2 linked regions of the Oreochromis niloticus genome follow. The protein of the gene in region 1 interacts with the protein of each later gene in a pairwise test. Links are inferred from orthologs where the notes say so. Each region holds a gene or a part of one and is shown in the gene's direction. Other genes may lie near its edges. The genes, in order: fmr1 and pick1.

The links.
Region 2: the proteins of fmr1 (region 1) and pick1 interact in a two-hybrid assay, tested with the Homo sapiens proteins (2 studies listed by BioGRID and IntAct). The link is inferred for Oreochromis niloticus from reciprocal best matches to the Homo sapiens genes FMR1 and PICK1.

The regions. Positions count from the first base shown.
Region 1 is NC_031966.2:33,306,240-33,316,858, reverse strand, and holds the start of fmr1 (fragile X messenger ribonucleoprotein 1), read left to right. Parts: upstream 1-6,408; 5' UTR 6,409-6,808; coding exon 6,809-6,859; intron 6,860-9,758; coding exon 9,759-9,811; intron 9,812-9,900; coding exon 9,901-9,994; intron 9,995-10,349; coding exon 10,350-10,421; intron 10,422-10,619. Other genes in the region: rab33a (ras-related protein Rab-33A), read left to right, coding at 1-25, 2,646-2,713.
Region 2 is NC_031969.2:9,656,392-9,667,464, reverse strand, and holds the start of pick1 (PRKCA-binding protein), read left to right. Parts: upstream 1-6,772; 5' UTR 6,773-6,939; intron 6,940-7,171; exon of another isoform or gene 7,172-7,420; intron 7,421-7,427; 5' UTR 7,428-7,460; coding exon 7,461-7,501; intron 7,502-7,720; coding exon 7,721-7,832; intron 7,833-8,046; coding exon 8,047-8,175; intron 8,176-8,703; exon of another isoform or gene 8,704-9,126; intron 9,127-9,251; coding exon 9,252-9,318; intron 9,319-9,450; coding exon 9,451-9,540; intron 9,541-9,610; coding exon 9,611-9,664; intron 9,665-9,786; coding exon 9,787-9,849; intron 9,850-10,135; coding exon 10,136-10,269; intron 10,270-11,073. Other genes in the region: galectin-2, read right to left, coding at 5,027-5,173, 5,401-5,572, 5,792-5,871, 6,013-6,021. UniProt on the Homo sapiens protein: Probable adapter protein that bind to and organize the subcellular localization of a variety of membrane proteins containing some PDZ recognition sequence.

The DNA.
Region 1 (10,619 bases):
CTCACACAAGAGACTGAGACAAAGAGTAATTGTCCTTGTTGAGGAAAAAGAGGAGCGGGTGGCATAGCGGAAGGGAGGAGAGAAGAGTATCTCTACATTTGAAGAAGGAAGAGGAAAAGGGATGATGGGCGAAAGACGAGAGTCATTTAAATTTGTAGTTTAGGAGAAGGATGGAGGGGTGGGGGTGTTAAAGCTGATACTATGAGGTGGACGGTAGAGGGGCTTAAAGCTTGTGCAAAGGACTGAAAAATCACCAACATCCTGAGAGTGATGCGTTTGTTAACAATTCAGAAATAAGATGAAGCTGCCTTTTCAACTACAGTAAAGTTTAGAAATTCTTCCACTCATTTGCACATATATACACAATCTGAGTGAAATCTAGTTTCTTATGACGTCAGCGACACAGAGTCTCCACGCAAAGCTTACCCTGAAACCAGCCGTAGCTCGATGTTTTCCAAGGCCATTATTAACCGCAGCAGCTTATTTTACCGGCTGTTTTTTGCTGTCAGAGCTTAATATTTGTCGCATTTCACCCTTGTTGTGATTGCACCATTTCTACCACCTTAAAAGCTAAACAGCTGGCTCTAAATTAGTTTTAATGACCCGCTGAGGCAAAAACAGCAAAGATGTTTTAAGGATTTAAAAAAGCATTTAACAGATTCTTTTTTTTCTGAGAAATATTAGACTTTTATTGTCTCCCCCCCCCCCTCCTTCCATTTATGTTGCCTGATATCAGCCTATCACAAGCCCTCAAATGAAGGACTTAAAATCATTGTGAGATTTAAATGAATGGAGAAGATGACAGATTGCAGGATCTACAGAGGAAGACCTTGACGAGAAGGTTTCCTGCAAACGGGCCATTTATAGGTTGCCGGAGAGCATGTCAGCTATTGATTTAGAAGCTGTGAGATCCTTTTACCCTTATGCAGGTGAAAGGCACTCTCCTACAAAGGGGAGGCAAGGCTCTTGTTTCTCATCCACTCCTCATGTAAATGTATCTTCTCCATGTTGTCCCAGTGGCCTAAGCCAGCTTTGCCACTGGATGTAAATTCAAAAACATCAAGTCTTTAAAATAGCTGCCCGACTCTCTCCTGTTATGCAGCATCAATGTTCTAATAGGTAGTTTTCAAGCTAGAGGCCTTCTAGCTGCCTTAGATGAAGCTTCACTGCCTCCAGTCTCTGAAAATGCAGGAGAGAAAACTGTGAACCCTGTGTAGGTGACGGAGAGGCCTTTGTGCTGCTGAACCCTTAAGCCTGGATTATTCGAGTCACTGGTGAAACTGGCAGCATGAGACACTGTAGAAAGCCATATTTAATATTTCCTGCACACAGAGAGGCAGCTTGCTTTGCACTGAGGAAGCTCCCATGTAGGCTGTGGGTGAAGGAACACACTGTACATAAATCAGTGTTTAAGCAATGAAGCCTCTGTGTCACAAGAAACCATCCAACATCCCGACTGTGGTGTATGTCAGTTTGATATAGTAGCACACTTAGCATATTTTACCACTGTAGCCTACTCTTGTGTGATTCTATTAATGTATCTGGATGCCATATGTAGAAGAATCAGATCAGCGAGCATTTAAGAGCGGCGTTCCCTCCAAGCTGACAGTCTGATGTCCTGATTAAATTATTCACAGGCTGAATCTGAACACTGTGCAAATCCAGAGGGCTTCTGCCTGAGGTGTGCCATGGTTTGGCGATCTTTCATACAGGTTTACGAACGGTGCAAAAGTCTTCAGCCACAAATAGTTATGAAATAGTCCTAGTCATTTCATAGCAATAAAATGGTATTTTTCCGCCACAAGGTGATTCTTAAAGTGCTATTTCGGCATGGTGTGCAGTCTGCCCTTAAAAAAATATGAGGCAAATGGACGAATGGAGGCAGGTCTTAAAAGCTCTACTGCAGATATCTGAAAGTCATTTCCTTAAGAAATAGGCAAAATCAACCAAAGACCCGACACAGGATTTTCAGTTGATCCACCGACTGTTTGCCAAAGCCTCATCAGAAATGGTTTCAGTGGAAAGGCAGATGTCAAGAAGCTTCCTAAAGAAAGGAAACAGGGACTAAAATGTGCCAAATTACACAAAAGCTGTGATAAAAATCAGTAGAGACAGGTCTTATTGACCGATGAATCCAAATGTAACATTTTTGGTGTAACTCATTGTCAGCAGGCACAGCGGAGGCCAGGAGAAATGGGCCCACTGTGCAATACCATCTGGAAAGCTCTGCTTGGCAATTTCATTTTTGAGCATGACAATGATCCAAAACACACTATCAATGCCATAAAATTAGAAATTAGAATTGATTAGAAAAACACACATTCGTGGATTGGCCTCCCAAGAGCCCAGACTTCAACCTTCCTGAAGCAGTGTGGGATCATCTTAGTTAATGTATTTCTGTGTATGTGTGCACCTTTCAAATTGCTACACCCATTTTCCATTTTCCTACCAAAATATAAAGAAATGAGGGCCGGCTCGAGACTTTTGCACAGTTCTAACAGCAGGATCGAACAGAACAGTGAATCAAATGACATTACTGTAAAATATCAGGAAGAGCTCTGTTCATTCTCCTTATATGGGCTAATCTGTGACTTCTTTTGTTTGTTTGTTTATTTGTTTTTAATCTCCATAAATGGCATCCACAGGTGCGCCTCAACCACAGCTGGGGAAACCACTACGTTCAGGACTGATGGAGCGGTATCCCAGGACATAAAATGTAAAAGGAATTGTTCATCCTTTAAATTTTAATACATTAACATCAACAGCTTTGTCCATCAGTGGGTTATTGTAAGAATGCTAATTTAGTCAGTGTCATACAAGTGGGATGACTGAACAAGACTAATGAGCAGAAAAACACTGTGGAAAAAAGAAAAATGTGTCTGCATTTCTGTTAGCAGATTTGAATAAAGCGGCAACTAACATGGTTTCAAATGAATAGAAAAGAAAATGAAGCTATAGTTCAGTTGTTTTCACTGTCATCAACCAAACATATATATCACTGTTTATGAAATTATTCAGCAGTTTATGTCATTTACTAGAAAATGTAACATCGCTTAACAAAAGTTCAGTTTTAACCATTTAAAACTGCAAAATGTGCATTTTTCCAGGTCGAAGAGTTGCAAATATATGCTTGCCTTCTCTTTTCTCTATATCTCCAGTGTGTTTTCTAATATATTTGTACTTTTTTGCAGTTGATTTGTGTCATTTTTAATAACCCATGTTTGCTCTTAAAGGGTTGCCTTGGCATTTTGATATTTAGTCTGGTATTATTGTTTATCTGCAAAACGTCTGTATGTGGAAAATAATAAATATCAAATACACTTTGAAGCATATATCATTCTAAGAACACACAAACGTCGATGAGCAACTTGAACAAGCCAAAATTAAACAAGTTAGACATCACAGTTCATTATTTGATTTACTGTTTTAAGTGAATTAGGTTCTTTTTTTCTTTTTTTTTTAGAAAACATGTTTTTGGTATCTTTAAATCCTTAAGCACGTGTATTAGCTTTAGCATTACAGTCAATGTTCAGATGAATGTGGTCTTTCTTCGCTTAAGAATTAAAGTAAAGTTAGCTGCAGTCCTACAGAGTATCAGGATATTGGTTTTATACATTACCTACTTGCAGTGCTAACACAACTTAGCCCGTGGTAGCTTAAATCAAAGCGCTAGTTTATTTGCTAGCTTATTTGCTAGCTAGCCAGCTCATTATTAGCTAAACTCTCACTAATTTAAAGAACATTTTAACGATTTTTACTCTGTTAAAAATGATAACACCACAATATTTAGGATGTCTCTGGTTTTATACAATAATACAAATTGTTATTTCGCTTTATTATCTAAAACAGTGTTTGTCTTTGGTACTATCTACAGCAGCAGTCCCCAACCTTTTTTTGGGCCGCGGACGGTTGTTTGACAATATTTTCACGGACCGGTCTTTAAGGTGTCACAGATAAATACAACAAAATAAAACCAGTGCCGGTACCAAAAAAAAAGAAGCTTTATTCATAACACACGCAACAAGACCCAGGGAAACTGAGTTAACGATAATAAACGATAAAAACCCTGAAAACCATACATTTCACACCCGAGCCTCAACTCTCGCGGCCGGGTAACAAACAACTCCGCTCCGTGGCCCGGGGGATGGGAACTGCTGATTTACAGCATCTTTGAGTGACACAGGCTCGAATCAGACCTGAGGACTCAAATCCATGTTTCTTCCATCTGTTCTTCTGTCATTCCACACAGTGTGGTGGCTGTAGCCTATCCCATTTGCAATAGGGCAAGAGGAGAGGTACACCCTGGACAGGGCTAATTCAATTTCTTTACACCCACTGGAGCTCAGTGTAAGTTAACAGAAGTCAGCGTTCCTTGTTTGATGACTCTTCAGACTGATGGACGTTGCTGACAGGGATTTGAACGCACTGCGCCCCATTTAATCAATACTATAAAGACTAAAACCCAGAATACTGAATCGCTCTTTTTGAAAAAGCCTGAAGAGTCGTGTTGGCTGATTTTATGGTATTGTAATTTTGTTAGATCCTGTAAATCTGTGGTGACTTTTGTTTTTGCCTGTCAGTTTACTCTGCTTTTGGACTGTGTGTGATTCTCCTCTTCTGTACATATGTTTCATATGTAACACTGTTATTGTTACAATCTCACAAAGAAACTTACGATAAAACTGCTGAAGAAGCATCGCTTGACTCTGAACCTTTTTCGTATCACTGCCCTTGAATTGGTTGCTTTAAAAACAGTGATCAGATATGCAAACACTCGCAGTCAGCTGCAACCTTAGGTGCATCAAGACCATGATGAAAAGGCAATAAGATAGAGTCAGTCTCTTATCAGTCTATTTTCAGTAATAATTTGATGAACTCTCAGCGAGTCCAGTCAGACCTTCATTTTTGAGACCTAAGTTCAAAAATTCATCTGCAAAAAGTGACGTAGTTGCTGCAAGACAGATATTTAAATGCAAAATGACAGGAGTGCTTGGCAGCCATGCTTTTGCACACAAATATAACCAGAATACAACCATGTTAGCTGAGCTGCATCACAGGCAGTTTACAGTCATCAGTCCAAACTGACTCCGACTGATTGCAAAGTGCTGCCAGTCTGTTTCCTTTGCAAGGAAGTTGTCGTCCTATTACTTTGTAGAGTTTAGCTTATGTGCCTGTGCCAACAGCATGGTGTGTTCAGTATTCAGTGTTTCCCTCGCACGCAGAACTCAGAATTTCCCGTCTGTTTATCCGTTCTCTTGCTCTTTGTCCTGTATCTTATTTCACCCTTCATGTATGACCCTGTTTCTGCCGCACTCTCATTCTATTTCTGTCTTAATCTCACTATAGATTATCCCTGTAAGTCACTCTATGGTCCTCTCATATGTCACTGTCAGCACTTCTTCATTTACCTGTCTGTAGTCTGTCTGCATCTTTCCCTTCTTTTTCTCTCCCTCTCTTAACATGTGGCCTGTTGCAGTTCCTTGTTTTTGCCTACAAAGTATAATTCTCAAGAAGGTCATATGTCCATAAATAGATGTAGCAGATGAGTGCTGCTGAGTGTTGAGAGAATGAGAGGTTTATAGAGGAAAAACATGAGGTTTTAACTGATCCTTAACACTGAATCTGCAGGCCTCTGTATTAAAATCTGTACATTTATCCATGCCATGCCTTGCTGTTAAATGTAACAAACGTCTTTAAGCATAAAAAGGCATGTGCCCTGACTTTAAAACATAGTTATTATAGTTATGTTTTCGGTTTCCAGGCAAAACTATTTTGGAGTGGATGACGTGGTTTGGCATGTCAGCTTTCAAGAGACAGTCCTCAGAAACAACAGGCAGTAATGAGTAAGTCTGAGTCTAAATATATATTGTATATTACATTAGATTAGATTCATTAGATATTAGTGGAACATTTAATGAGAACACCTTGGTTGCTGTCCTAGGTTCTGAAATCTCTCATTTTAATGTGTTATTATATTAGATAGATATATAGATACTTTATTGATCCCATGGGGGAAATTATTGTTACAACCTTGTGATAAAGAATAAAAATAGTACCGTGTACAATAAACATCAAATAAACAACACATGAGGAGCCAAAGTTCTTTGCAACAGATTTCAGTAGTTAGTTAAAGATAAGTATTGTGTTTGTGAATGCACATTGTAAAAACAAGTGAGGAAAAAGAGCAAGGTGGAATAGTTGAAATGTGGCTTGATAAATATGGAGAGGGATAAATTTGCTGTTTTCCCGGAGGGACTGGTTGGCCGTGCTGTTGGGAAAATATATTTTTTCATTTGTTCTTAGAGCTCAAATATGGTACACCACAGGATAAACACAGTGGTCATTTTTATTTTGATATATTTCCTGCTATATCAAATGGCATTCCTATTTATTACCCGTGGAGAGCAGCAACAGGCTCGGATGAGAGTAAGCAGCCTCAGTTTTCAGTAGAGGAAGAAAGCGGAGACGTCACATGGAGAGATACAACAGCAGTAGCTGCTACACCACTAATCACACAACATTAACATAACTAGCTACTAAAAGCTAACCTGGCTAGCTAATTGCTTCGTCTTCTTCATGAAGTCGGATTTGCAAATTTGCAAGAAACAAATTTCATAGACGGTGCAAAGCGGAAAACAATATTACGGTCACACACAGCTACTGTGGCCTCTTCTTGCATCCAGTAGGCAGGGTATTTAGGCTAGCTAGCGACTCTGCCTTGGCTAGCGTCAGGCTAGCCAGCTAGCTAGCTAGCTACTAACATCGCTATCGGTAGTTAGCTAGCTAGCGAGCTGTAGTAACTTACGTCATGGAGGAACTAGTCGTGGAAGTAAGAGGGACAAGTGGGGCTTTTTATAAGGTAAGTTGTTGACTTTTGTCGAGTTTTGTGACCACCGTTCACACACTATGTACCAAGTAAGCCTAACTAACATGAATTTGTGTCACGGGGCTAGCTTAGTGTTATATGTGGGCCTCGGTGCTTCTGCTCAACGTCTACCGGGACCTGAAACGTGTAAACAAAGCTAACGCTGCGGTGGGGCTCTAACATCAGCGGTAGTGGATAAATTGGTGAACTATTGGTGATCATGACGCTTAACCAGGGTAGCTGTTTAAGCGGTATCGGTAACGCTGATGTGACTGCTATACGATGGTACCCCTAAAGTGATGTGCAAGGATTGGTTGCAGACTCACAAACATCAGAATCAATCATGGGTTGGCTGTTTTTTGTTTTTTGCTTTGGTCAAAGTAAGTTAATTCAGAGTAGCACACAGGGGTGATGGTTTGGCTAACCTTTATTGTGCCCGTAGCTGCCAGGTGTTTTCTTGTTTTGTCAAGACTGCAGAGATTTTGGGGTCAGTCAACAAGTAGATCATAAATCCGATCCCGTGACCTGCGTGTATCACTGGGGTGGGGTGGGGGAGATAACATAAGCAGTACAATGGGATAACACGCTAATTAGCAATAATTACTTACATTTGAATATTGGTCAATTCAAGGACACAAGAATAAAATGACTTATGGTGAAGGATCTAAATAAAATGATACATTTATTATTTATTTATTGTACAGCTGTCAGGTTTGTTGTGGGATAAATATAGGATGACATGTATCGCAAGTAAAGTTCTGACAGATGTCTTTTTAAAACTAATAGTTTTGTTGTGGCCACATTAATGCGAGGTACATGAATGCTGTGAGTATGCTGTATAATCAGGGTAATTAGTAATTGAAATTAATCTTGATTCAGGCCACAGACCCTCATTAAGCTCAGCGGTTGCCATGTAAATCATAGACTTCTCATGCTGTGTTCAATACTTGTATACTTTCCCAAATCAAGAGGCTTTTCCTTTGAATGTAGGAAAGTTGAAGTTGGCACTGTCAGTTGTACTTTGGCTTTTAGCTAGGTGTGGCACGAGACAGAAACCATTCTTTTAATAGTTGTAATCATATTGTTAGCAAGTACAGAACCATATAAATGGGTGGGTGTGTCCGAATATTTGAATGGTGCTGTAGCTTGAATGATAAGTTTTACTGTCAAACAGCAATGAGAAAAGTTAGGCTAATTATTGTTAGATGGTAGTCTGGTTTGAAAAAATCCAGTCCCACCAGGTAACTCTTAAGAGTACTTTTATTAGCCATACATCTATCATAACCTACATGTATACCACTGTTATATTTAATGTATTTTACTATGTAGATCGATCTAATAAGATGACGTAGGTGTGACTCCTTACAAGTATAAGCAGATACACGACAAGAGGGCGACTTTGGCAGAGGTCTTTCTGTTCATCAGAAAATGCCCAGTGTATTCACAGAGGCTTATTCAGAGTGTTTAAAACTTAGGCAGTTTGTTTTTCTCTTGGCCCAGTATGATGTCACTGAGAGCAAATATCCCTAATATTGTCATCTTAGGTACACAGTTCTGACTGAAACCCCACCCACCTGCTGTTCACACCTTCTGTTTGCCAGGGGCTGGCTGGCAGACAGTTGGCCTAATATGAGTGGAGCTAAAACAGTTTTAAGATGAATTGAGCTGCACCAGCAAGAGATAAATGTGGATTATTTTCAATTGTGAATCATGCAAAGCTAGTGTAGTAGACTGTAGTCGAGTAAAAGGAATAGTGTAATAGGTCCACTTTAAAGGAGACTTATTTACAGAGCAGTTACCTTTGCTAGATGGCAGCATACCTCCAACACAGGGAGTTGGATCTTACTGCAGATCACTTGCATGATTTCAATGTTAATAAGCATTCAAATTTTGGTTAATGAATCAAGAGTTTTGAACGTAATCATTTTAGTTAGTTGTTGTGATGATGTTGATTGACTAAATGTGTAGTTGGCAAATAATTTTTTATAGTGTTTTTAATAATAGTTGAACTGGAAAATGACACCCTTGTCTCTGGCATTATAGCAGAATTTAAAATATGCTCTTGGCTGAAATGAACATATTAAAAATAATGAGTGCATTCATCTGCCAAGTGAGAATAATACTATAGAAATAATTGTAGAAAATGGTTCTGCCATAAATCACTTGAGTGAGAAACTTAATTTTGCTGTTTTTAAATTGCACCTTATGCAGTATAGAAGTCATTGCTCTTTTTTATTGTAATCTCAACAGCAGTACAACAATTGCAGTTTACTGCCAGTAGACTAAACTACATTATCTCCTAATGCACCCTCTGCCTTACCCTCATATTTTGTGTTTTGGTATTTTTCCGGTTTTAACAAGATTAATGTTCTTGCTAAAGTCTGAACTTGGTTCCTGAACTAGACAGTCAGTCAGTCACAATCCTAAACACGCTCACAGGTCAGTGAGGTCCTGTCAGAATTGGTTTATTTGTTTTTTTAACCTTGGGAGTTTTGAGAAGCTCTCTTTCTTGCTTCCTTCTTGCTTCATTTCATCCACCACTGACTGCTAGCTTGCCAGGTTAATGCAACCCATTGGCAAGGCTCTCTAGCGCTCTCTTTTCCTTCTAGGCATCGCATGGCCTACTTGCAGTGTTTGACACACATGACACACACATCAGCTGTGTGTAGAACCAGCGAGAGAGAGAGAGACTGAGCCAAACCTGACTCGAGCCCAAAGCTCAAACTCCAGAAAAGGAAATTATTTAGGTTGTTTCATTCCTAGGAGCATTAGGATAAGGTCAGGCTTAAGCAGTAGAACTGGTTCCTGTTTACATGGTCGATGCCAGTTTGACTTGCGCACTGACTATTTCAAAGATATGTCAAAACTGAATTTACTTCTGTGACTCTTGCAGGCCTTTGTAAAGGATGTTCACGAAGGATCTGTCACGGTAGCATTTGAAAACAAGTGAGTAAAGTAAAATATAACATTGTGTAATATGTCATGTCTTTGGCAAACAATAAAATGAACTTTTTGTGTTTGTTCCTCTGTCCCAGCTGGCAGCCGGAGCGGCAGATCCCATTCCAGGATGTGCGCTTTCCTCCTCCAACAGGGTTCTGCAAGGAGATCAGTGAGAGCGATGAGGTCGAGGTGAGAAAGTGATTGTTGCCGTCAGACATGGTGGGTTTGGAAAGCAAAGTTGGTATAGCTGGGGAGCAGGGTAACTTTGGAATAGCATGGAGCGGAGTGAGTAGAGTTGAATTTTCAGCGTAAAATAAAATTTAAAAAAGAGTGATGCTCCTCACATAGTCTGAGATTATCTGTTCTATCGATGGTAAATTAGTCTGACTTATTATTTTTATCAATAATATTATTCACAATGATTTCCTGTATCAGTGTGTCAGTTGTTTCTGTGCCAGTTTACTCGTATCAGCTTTGTTTAAAGATGGGAATGATTTCTGAAATGAGCTGTGTGTGTGTATGTGTGTGTGTGTGTGTCTGTCAGGTGTATTCTAGGGCGAATGACAAAGAGCCATGTGGATGGTGGTTAGCCAAGGTTCGCATGGTCAAAGGGGAGGTAAGACATGCTCCAGTTCATCTGTAAGGCTCACCAAGCAGCACTGAAGCAACATGACTGTGTTAAATTTGCTTAAAACGCAGCCCAGACACTTGCTCCATTCTAAATGCTTTAATATCACAACATCCTTTATTAATACTAAATACAGCCATGTTTACTGAGCACATTCTACACTCATGAAATGTTATGTACTCATAA
Region 2 (11,073 bases), on another chromosome or scaffold:
AAATGGGACAGGTAAAAAAAAAAAAAAAAAAAAAAAAAAAAAGACTCACTATGCCACCAGTTGTATGCATGTGCACTACAAATGGGTGACGGCTAAGCAGAAAACAATGTCGTAATTCTCTCTCTGAAGAGAAGGGTTTCAAGGATGAGCTGAAGGTATAGACTCACCTGATGTGTTGAGAAATTTTCTTTGTCTCTGAGTTTGGTTAAGGCATATAAGACATGAGCAACCGCGCCCATTTTCAGAGACTGCTTAGGTGATTGACCAGAGTCTCTCCATATTGCAATGTTATTAAACTCACTTCAAATCATGCTCACTGAGGTGTTTGCAGGTTTTATTTAAAATTTCCACAACATAATTCAGTAGGATTCCAATGCTAGATGGCTTTATTGATTTGACTGATATATGATATATTTCAGGGGTGGCCAACTCCAGGACTATTTTTTTTTTTGACTATTTTTTGTGTTTGGAACTTAAAAGGCCGTAACAGTCTTGTTTTATTGTCTTTGAAGGGTTGCAGCCTAATCTGTATCAGTAAAGCTGTGTGAGAGAACAAGTCCAATCAAATATATCAGGGGTGGCCAACTCCAGGCCTCAAGAGCCAGTGTTCTGCAGGTTTTAGATAACACCCTCGGTCAAAACACCCAAACCATTAGTTCATTATCAGGCCTCTGGAGAATTTCAAGAAATGTTGAGGAGGTAATTTAGCCATTTGAATCAGCTGTGATGGATCAAGGACACATCTATAACCTGCAGGACACTGGCTCTCGAGGCCTGGAGCGGCCCATCCCTGATATATTTGATTGTTGTTCTCTCACACAGCTTTACTGATACAGATTAGGCTGCAACCCTTTAAAGATAATAAAACAAGACTGTTACGGCCTTTTAAGTTCCAAACACAAAAAATAGTCCAAGAAAAGGCCATGGGTGGCAGCGGGAGGTTTGTTTTAGAACGCAATTCTGACTTCATTGTTAAAAATTATATGGCATTTATTTCGTAGAGAAATATAAACAAAAATCAACCAAATAATTTCTTACAACTTAAAATTAAATGAAAGTTAATTTAATCTGCTTTAACAAGTTCAAAAAGTGCTCAAAAAATCATTTTAAACCCTCTCATCGTCCCATCTGACATTTGGCAAACAAAAATCATTTTTCCTACAACCCTCCTTGATTAATGAGAGGGTCCAGAAGTTAATAAACCAATCACTTTCCAAAAAACATTTCCAAAAGTAAAATAAATTACAAAGACCATTTGAGTTTTGCACAGTATCATATATACAGTATATGCACAAACTAAACTTACCAAACAGTCCTACAGATAATTGAATACATGGGAGGAAACTGTTTAAACACAGCTACCATCTTTCTTCTTGGGAGACAAAAGGTAACTTATTTAAAGTAAGAAACCAATTTTAACATAACAAAAACACCTTAGTAGTTACAGCGCCAAATCACAACAACAGTTGCCTCAAGGTGCTTTATATTGTAAGGTAGACCCTACAATAATACATACAGAAAAAACAGCAATCATATGACCACCTATGAGCAAGCACTTTGACAACAGTGGGAAGGAAAAACTCTTTTAACAGGAAGAAACTTCCAGCAGAACCAGACTCAGGGAGGGGCGGGGCCATCTGCTGCGATCGTTTGAGGTGAGAGAAGGAAGACAGGATAAAAAACATGCTGTGGAAGAGAGCCAGAGATTAATAACGGGTATGATTCAATGCAGAGAGGTCTATTAACAGACCTTCTTCAGAATAGATATTCCTGTGTGAATATCTTGTAAAAACAGGCATGCACTTCACCACAACCACTCAAAAAACTCAACTCAAAAACTAAAAAAACCCACCATACCCATGTTACAAGATACACAACATCTACAGCAATATTTAGTTAAAGAGAGTTTTTTCATGGTTCAGGGGTTGCTCTGCAGAGGATGGTTGATGCTAAAGTGTACAATTTGCCAGAATTAGCCCATTAAAATGAAGAATGTTCCCTTTTTTAAAGAAGGAAAAGACATTTAGTCTTTTCATTTAAATATATATCTTTAAACTGCTTAAAAATATAACCTGACGTTATGCTAGCTTCTAGCTTTGCTTGAAAGTGTTAAAAATAAACCAGATGACACAAACTAAAAAACTTAAAAGTCAACCAAACGCATCCAGAGGTTGAGGGATATGAGCAAGGAATGAACAATCTTTACAATGGATCTCTCTGCATCCTTCAAAATAACCCCTTTTATTTTCTACTCCGCTCAAGCTCTCAGATCCACATTATTCAGCTCAAGTTGCTGAGAAATACATTATTAGAATGAGAAGAAGACTTGAGAATGAATGAGCGTTTTTAGTTTAGCACAAGTATTTTACTGTTTATTAGTGTTAATATTTTCAGTTCCACCTGGAGGTCACCTGGGTCAAATATGCCCATAATTCCCTAACCTCCTCTTCCACCAGGTTGTGTTCATTCAAAGCCTATCTAGGGTAAACTGCTGATCTTTTTTAGCCTTAATTGCCTGTTCGATCAATCCCACTCCATCTTCATTGCTGTTGGCATCTGTGGAAGTACATGAAAACAGCCTTGCTGCAAACAGCAGAACAGAATAAGCAGGTGACAGATCGTTGTTGGACCGTCTATGCTGCAGGTCAAAAGGTTTTTTTTCCCTCTAAAAATATTCTCTCACAAACTGAGTCTAACAAACCAAATTTCATTGGACCATTTAAAATAGACACCATAGTTAACCCTGCCTCTGGATCAAACTATGGATCAAATTGGATCATTCTGTGGATGGATCAAGGATCAAACTGTGCTCCTCATGCTATTCCTGAGCCATTTCTGTTTTGTGGCAGGGCACATTATTGTGATGAAAGAGGCCAAAGCCATCAGGGAGTACTGTTTCCATGAAAGGATGTTCATGGTCCATAACAGTGCTTAGGTAGGCAGTACATGTCAAAGTAAAGTCCGCATGGATGGCAGGATCTAAAGCTTCCCGGCAGAACATTTCCCAAAGCATCACACTGCCTCCGCCAGCTTGCCTTCTTCCAATAGTGCATCCTGGTACCAGGTGTTGCCCAGTTAAGCAATGCAAACTCACCCGGTCCTCCAGGTGATGTAAACGAGAACCTGATTGATGAGACCAGGCCACCCTCTTCCATTCTTCTGTGGTCCAGTTCTGGTGCTGTGTTGGACAGGGGTCAGCATGGGCACCCTGAGTGGTCTGTGGCCATGCAGCCCTATATGCACCAAACTGTTATGTGTATTCTGACACCTTTCTGTCAGAACCACCATGAACTTTTTTTTTGATAATCTGCTTTAAAGTAGCTCATCTCGAAATACACAAGCCAGCCAATGAGACTTGGGTCCCCATGACCCTGTTACTGATTCATCACTGTTTCTTTCTTGGACAACATTTGATAGATACTGACAAATGCAGACCAGGGACGCCCCAAAAGAGCTGTACTTTTAGAGATGCTGTGACTCAGTCGTCTACCCATCACAATTTGTTCCTTGTCAAACTTACTCAAATCCTTACTATTACACATTTTTCCTGCTTCTAACACATCAATTTGAGGATGAATAATTCACTTTCTACCTAATATATAGGAGTGAATTTTTAAAAAAAACTATCGATTTTCTGATCCAAATCTTAGTTTGAATAATGTGAAATCAATTAATTAAATCCTCAATGGATTTTTAAATATAAGTGTATTTTGCCAGAAATGCCAAAATATCAGGTGTAAGCTCACAAACAATTTTAAAAAAAACCCAGCTAAAACGGCAAATGAGAGCAGGTAAAAGGATTCTACAAAAAGACGCTGTGCTTCACTTCAGCAGCATCAGGTAATGGTCATTTGTTGAGTCATGGTTTTCTTCAGTTTTTGTTCCACTGCAGAATATTTTTAAGGTTATCTGCTATTAAAAGCCAGGCCAGGAAAATCTCCTTCATATTTTTCAGTTTTATTCTCAGTTACTTTGACTCAAAGGCATCTGCTGTGATGTTTACACCTCTGAAGTCTCACAAGTATGAGATATGTTTTTATACATATATATAACTATATGGATATGTACTGTTAAATGATCAGAATTATAATGTGACTCAAAGACTGCAAGGTGCCCAGGTCCTGTGGCAAGTTTGGTTTTCACCAATTGTGTTGTGCATTACGGCCAAAAATCTTTGGTCTTTTCTGTCTAATTCAAATTGTTCTAAAAGTCTTGTGGTTTATTTACATCAAACTTTCCTAACTTAAGCTGTGTTGCCATGTAGAAGAAGCTTTCACTGACCACCATTCCAAGCACGCTATACTTTTAATCTTTTTTTTTTTTTTAATTGAACTGTCATGAACTTCAACACTTAATATGCCAACTGAGCAGCTACTTACTCTCCTGATTTCTATTGAAACAATAAGGGAGTCTAAAGCACTCTGAGCTGTTTGAGAGACCAGACTAGAGCTATGAAAGTCATGTGAAAAAGAAAGTTTCCACTGGACTCTGTGCAGTCCTGTACACCAAATCACCAGTTAACCTAACATGCATTTCAAAGGAAACTGGAAACCTATGGAGGCACAAGTAACATACAAACTCCACAAAGAAAAGTGTTAACCAGGAACCCTCGTGCCCCACATGCATTTTGTATCATTTGGAGCCATTTTTCTCTGCATGTTTTATCTGCATGTTTACATAACTATAAATAATCAGTCATTGGATTTAGCAAAGAACTAATATATTTGCATTTTCTTCTATTGTTCTGTATCATACTTTTACTCTTTCATGCCTCGACTTATACTGTGTTTGTGAGAGGCTGCAAAACCTTAAAGATGACAAAACATGATTATTTGACTGTAAACATTTTATATCATTTTTGCACAACAGGACATTTTAAATCACTTAAATGTATTAATTTCTCTTTATCTCTTAATGATTCTTCAGTCAATAACTGACTGTTATTGTAAGAATAACATTCAGACAGTCAAACCTCATCTATAACTAAAGTGTTAAACACAGCATCTGTTTACTACAGTTGTATCTCTTAGCAGATCTTAAAGGATTTCAGTTTGAAGTCCCCCGTGACTCTGATGTAGCTGATGGTACCCATACCAACACGATTTGGAAACTGGACTTCCTGTCCATCAGGAAGTTCCACCTCAAACATGTCTTCAGCCAGCTTCAACACAATCTGAAACAGAAGAAAAATTAATTCATAAGTAAACATTTTTTCCAAGACACAATCAATTGCAACCCAACTTGCATCGCCCAGCTTAATATCTGCAAGAGTATTAGTGTGTTTTTTGTGTTTTATGTGGGTAAATCAAATATCCATTTGATCCAATCAAAAACCTTTGTGATATTTTTAATACTCAGACACTCAGTACATCATCATTTACTTCGATCACATTCCCTCACCTTGACATCAGCACCCCTCTGTAGGGGGTTGTGAATTTCCCGTTTTTCATCGCCCCAGCAACCAGCAATCTTTGAGTTGCACACCAGCACAGCACCATCAGTGTCATCATGGAACCGAGGATTGAAGTGCAGTGCCAGGTCATCTGCATCACAGCCGAGATCAATCTGGAATCTGTTGATCAGACGTTGTACAAACTTGATTTTAATATCAATGGCTTGCAGAGCTTTGAACACATAGATCACACAGTGGAGTACAAAATATAATATAATTTGTAAAAGTCCACTTTGTGCTAGATTAGATTTTCCTACTGCAGGATTAACAGCATATGTAGCTTTCATTCAATTTATATGGTTACTGTATGGAAAAAATAAATGAGTTTTGTTAGCTTACCTCTCTGCATCATGCAGAATTACCCCTTTTATTTTCAGCTCATCTCCAGCTCTCAAATCCACATTCTTCAGTTCGAGTTCCTGAACACATGGTTAGAATATAACCTGAAGAAGTCTTGAGAATGAAATAACTTTGCATTTTCAGTTTTGCAAATAATTTATTAAAGGGTAAAATGTAGTTAATTTGCTGACATGTAGTGGCATACACAAACCTAAGCTTACCATACTCATACTGGTTGCTGGTGAACAGTCCTGGATGATGGAGTTTCAACAGAGGTACAGTCTACTGTGCTGGGAGAAAAAAAGGTAAATGGGGTAACTGTGAATTCTAGTTTATTTATGATGCAAGACATGAGTTTAAGTAAGATTCTCTTTTAACACTGACTCATTCAACATCATCATCATCTTTGCCAAATACTATATTCAGTACAAGCACTACTCTGTTTAATCACCTGTAACAGCAAATTAGTAAATGAACAAATTAATGTGCTTTTTCTATTTTTCATTGGAATTCATTTTGCACATTAATAAGGGCCTTCAATATACTGCAGATGACTCTAGAACAAAATAATCTATACTAGTGTACCATACCCATGCAATAAGTCTATTTTGCAACAATTGTATTTGTATGCTTCACAAATAAAATTTCTACAAACAAGATCATTAGTCAAATCTACATCCCTTTTCCCATCAAAAACAGTCTGTAATAATATTATATTTGACAAATTTCATGCAGGTGCAGGTTGACACTCTAACCACAGGATGGCAGTAAAACGCGTAGTCTAAGTTAGAAACAAGTGAATCCTGGAAGGACTTTGATTAAATCTGGAAAATACAATGACAGTGTTTTCATATGAGCTGATGAGAAGTTTAAAAGAAATAATCTGTATCATTTACACTGAGGAATATGGAATTATAGACTCTAAGACAAAACTAGAAAATGATCATCCAGTCCTTCCTTTGGTAATACGTCTTAACAACAACTTCCGTCATCCTGCCGGAAGTGACAAAATAAAGTAAATAGAAGCTGTCTTTAGATCGAGAAGTTGAGATAATTGCGAATAAAAAGGGCGATTCAACAAAAGATATTTTGATTTTATGCACACTAAAGAATATCTTTATGACGACTCTGTGCGACGTCTAAGAAAGGTAAATTGTTAATGGCCTGCTGACGTTTCAGGGGACAACATTAGCTAAATACACCTGCTATTAGCCTACAGGCTAGCAGCTAATAATCCAACTTACTGACCTCGGTCACTGTAATGAAATCTAACAGTGACTGGTTTGTGTGTGCATGCAGATATATTAAGTGCAACAGTTACATTAATTAAAACGTATTTAAATGGTTGTTGTTAGGATGTTAGCATGCACTGCGGGTTACCAGCTGTTTGCTCTGCTCCAGCGTTTCCTCACTGACTCCACAGCGATTAAATTTGCCGCATCAGGAAAGCAAAGCTGCCAATTTTGGTGATTGTCGATAGTCCATCTGATTATAGACTACTTTCAAATTCGCCGGTAGCTCAAACTCTTAAACGTGTTCTGATTGTCACTCTTTTAATGAGCGTTTCTTGGGTTTTCTGATCACTAGATCCAGTTAAAACTTCCTTTGATTTCTGTTTTATTGTACTCTGTCGCAGGTTTCTGAGGGACAGGAGTGACGCTGTCCTGCAATGTTCACAGATATGGACTATGAATTGGAGGAGGACAAACTGTGAGTCATTAATGAGCTTTCTCTACCCATCCAGGCGAATCACATATGCTTCTCATACATTATAAACATAAAACATTATTAAACATCTAAAACAGTAACTGATAGGGTGAATGTCTTGATATAAACTGTGATACAGTTCCCTCATTACAGAATGTCCCAGAATAAGCTGAACAAAATGCTTCAAAACTCAATTTAGTGTTTTTTTTTCTCTCTTAACAGGGGGATACCAACAGTGCCTGGGACTGTGACTCTGAAGAAAGATGCTAATAATCTTATAGGCATCAGCATTGGTGGTGGGGCTCAGTACTGCCCTTGCCTCTACATTGTTCAGGTGCACACAGAATAATTTATTATGACTTTATTTATTAAAATGTCATCTATAACCAGATATTTCTATCATGCTTTAAATGTTATAAGACTGTATCTGTCTCAGTTTGCTGTTGTTTGGCATATGGGTCATTAAATGCAGCTTTATCGCCTCTTTTTCAGGAAAAATAACTGTACTTTGTCACGGTTTTTTAAATGTGGTTGCTGTTGCTTTGCAGGTCTTTGATAACACACCAGCAGCTTTGGATGGGACGCTGGCAGCAGGTGATGAAATCACAGGTGTGAACGGGAAAGCAGTCAAGGGCAAAACTAAGGTGGAGGTGGCCAAGATGATTCAAGCTGTGCAGGTACACAGACTCTGAAAGTGGGAGGTTATTAAAAACTCAGCATTACACTATTGACCATAACTGCTATTTAACATTGAATATTACCAGTGTGATAATAATGCACACAGTTTAGAATAATAATACAGTCATTTGTGCATCTGTAGCTACAAAAACGCTCACCACTTCCATGCACACTGAAGAAAAAGATGCATTCGACTGATAGCTTTATTAGCCTTTTCAGATTTTTGGTAGTTGTTGTGATGTGATGATTATTTCCATGGATTATTTTGAATAAAATAATAGTATCATTGCAGTGAAAGTCTTATGACAGCCCTGTTGAAATAATGATGTTAACATGAGCTCTATTATTAAACTCCTGTTTTTAATCTTTTAAACCTAAAGACAGCGACTCATCATACTCACCCTCACCTCTGATGACCAATGCCCCATAATGAATAAAAAAAAGAACCAAACCATAGCTTTACTTGCATGTTGAAACACTGTGTGTCATTTAAAAGAAATTTTGAAAAGAATTCAAAGATGACTCACTTTTTTATGTCCAGCACAGTCCAACAGTTAGTGAGATATGAGTGTAAGCCCACCTTCCCACTGCAGACAGGACACTGTAGGAGTGACTTCACTGGTTTGCTAAGCTGTGCTGAAGAGGTCGGGACAATAGCCCGTAGCATGTGGCGTACCATCACCGGTGAATAGTGGCGCTGTTGTTTTTGGCATCCTTTGTTCACAACCCAAAAAATTCCATGACTTCCTGCGTGGTGGGATAAAGATGGGGTTCAGTGTGGGATTAAAAGGATTAGGTGGTGTTGCTGCTGCCCGTCACTGAAAATACATTTCACACTTAACACCATAAATGTTGCACATTATTAATTTTAACTTATGTACTAAGGTGAAATGTTACTTTCTTTGAAGCATGCATAGCAGTGCTTTGTACTGCATTCTTGCATAATCTCAACAAAAGCTAACACATAGTTCTATTTCTTATATTTAGTACTGCTACAATAGATGCTCTTCCTTTCACCATCCCATGTTTATATTTATTTATTTGGGTTATTTAACTGTTGATCCTATTTTCACAGGGAGAGGCAGTAATCCACTACAATAAGCTGCAGGCTGATCCAAAACAGGGGAAGTCTCTGGACATAGGTATTTATGTTTATGTTACTTCCTTTGAAGCGTGCACTGCAGTGCTGTGTACTGCATTCTTTCAGATTCTCAACAAATCTTTTTCACTGCTGCGTTAGTTTGTGTTAAACATTGATATTTTATATGTTTCAGTGCTGAAAAAAGTCAAACATCGACTTGTAGAGAATTTGAGCTCAGGAACAGCGGATGCTCTTGGACTCAGTAGAGCTATTCTATGCAATGGTAAGACTGCTAGGATGGTAACTGCAGGTTTGTTCATATCTACTTAGATTTAACTCGTTGTACTTTGCAGATGGACTTGTCAAAAGACTGGAAGAGCTGGAGAAAACGGCAGAGCTGTACAAAGGTAACGAATGATAAGATTCTTTACCTAAACAAGTTAATCATGTAGTGTGAAAACTCCATAATCACAGATATGAGAGAGCTTTTAATCCACAGAGATCCTGTTGTTCTCTGTTTGCGTTGCAGGGCTGATGGAGCACACGAAAAGACTACTGAGGGCGTTTTTTGAGCTTTCTCAAACCCACAGAGGTCAGTCACTATATCCAAAATCACAAATGATAAAAACAGTATTACACCAGTGGAATAATCCACTCTCACCCCAAGTGGAAGTTTGCTGTTGTTTTTTTCCTCAATAAAGGCTAAAACTTGGTGGAGCTTTTAGTTGAAACATGACCATAAAATGAATAAAAATGTCATGTTTTCATACAATGTCTGCTTGCTGGTGGAGTTGTATTTAATACTTTTTGTTTTCTAACTTTAGCAGATCTTTGCTCGTAGCTATATTTGAGAGGTTTCTGGTTTTGTCCCTTTGCAGCATTTGGAGATGTGTTTTCTGTCATCGGGGTACGAGAGCCCCAGGCTGCTGCCAGCGAGGCTTTTGTGAAGTTTGCTGATGCTCACCGCAACATTGAGAAATACGGCATTCAGCTACTAAAGACCATCAAACCTGTAAGTACAGATTTAACCCTTGTGTTGTCCACGGGTCATTTTTGTCCTCTACAGAAATCTTTTGCTATCAAAAATATGTTTTTTATTCATCAAATGGTCTGAAAATAACAGAAGTTATTCATTACTATACTATGCATGATTGGAATAAGTTTTAAGTAATTTGATTTATTTATGGGGTTTTTATTCGATTTTATAACACCTGTGGTCCTCGTGGACAAAAATGACCCCAAAGTACAAAGTGTTGCAAAAGGCCGTATTTTCACAACATACTGCTATCAAACATCTTTGATCTTGGATCACTGATGTTTGGGGTCAAGCACTGGTCATAACAACCACAACAACAACAACAACAGGCAGCACAATGAGGAGGCAGGTGCTCTATATTCAATAAAATGTTATTTATACTGCGCCAAATCAAAACAACAGTCGCATCAAAGTGCTTCGTATTGTAAGGTAGACCCTACAATAATACATACACAGAAAGTATGCTCACAAGCCTCCATTGCACTAGAGATTTGCATACTTTGATGAGCATACTTTTTTTTACCATGTTGTGCAAAGCAATGACCAGTAGGACAAAGCACATATTGTCCTCTAGTATAATGAGGAGGAAGAATCAATGTTCAGGAAGATCCAGGGTTAGAAGATATAGAAAATATTGTCAATATTTAGAGCACATGCTACCCTTTCTCTGAAAAAGCACATCACCCACCTGCAGAAGTGGAAGAAGGCTATGAAGTGAAGAAAAGTGATGAAGAATCTGAACTATGTTCAAGTAGGTTCTTGGGCATCCAGGGCATTGTA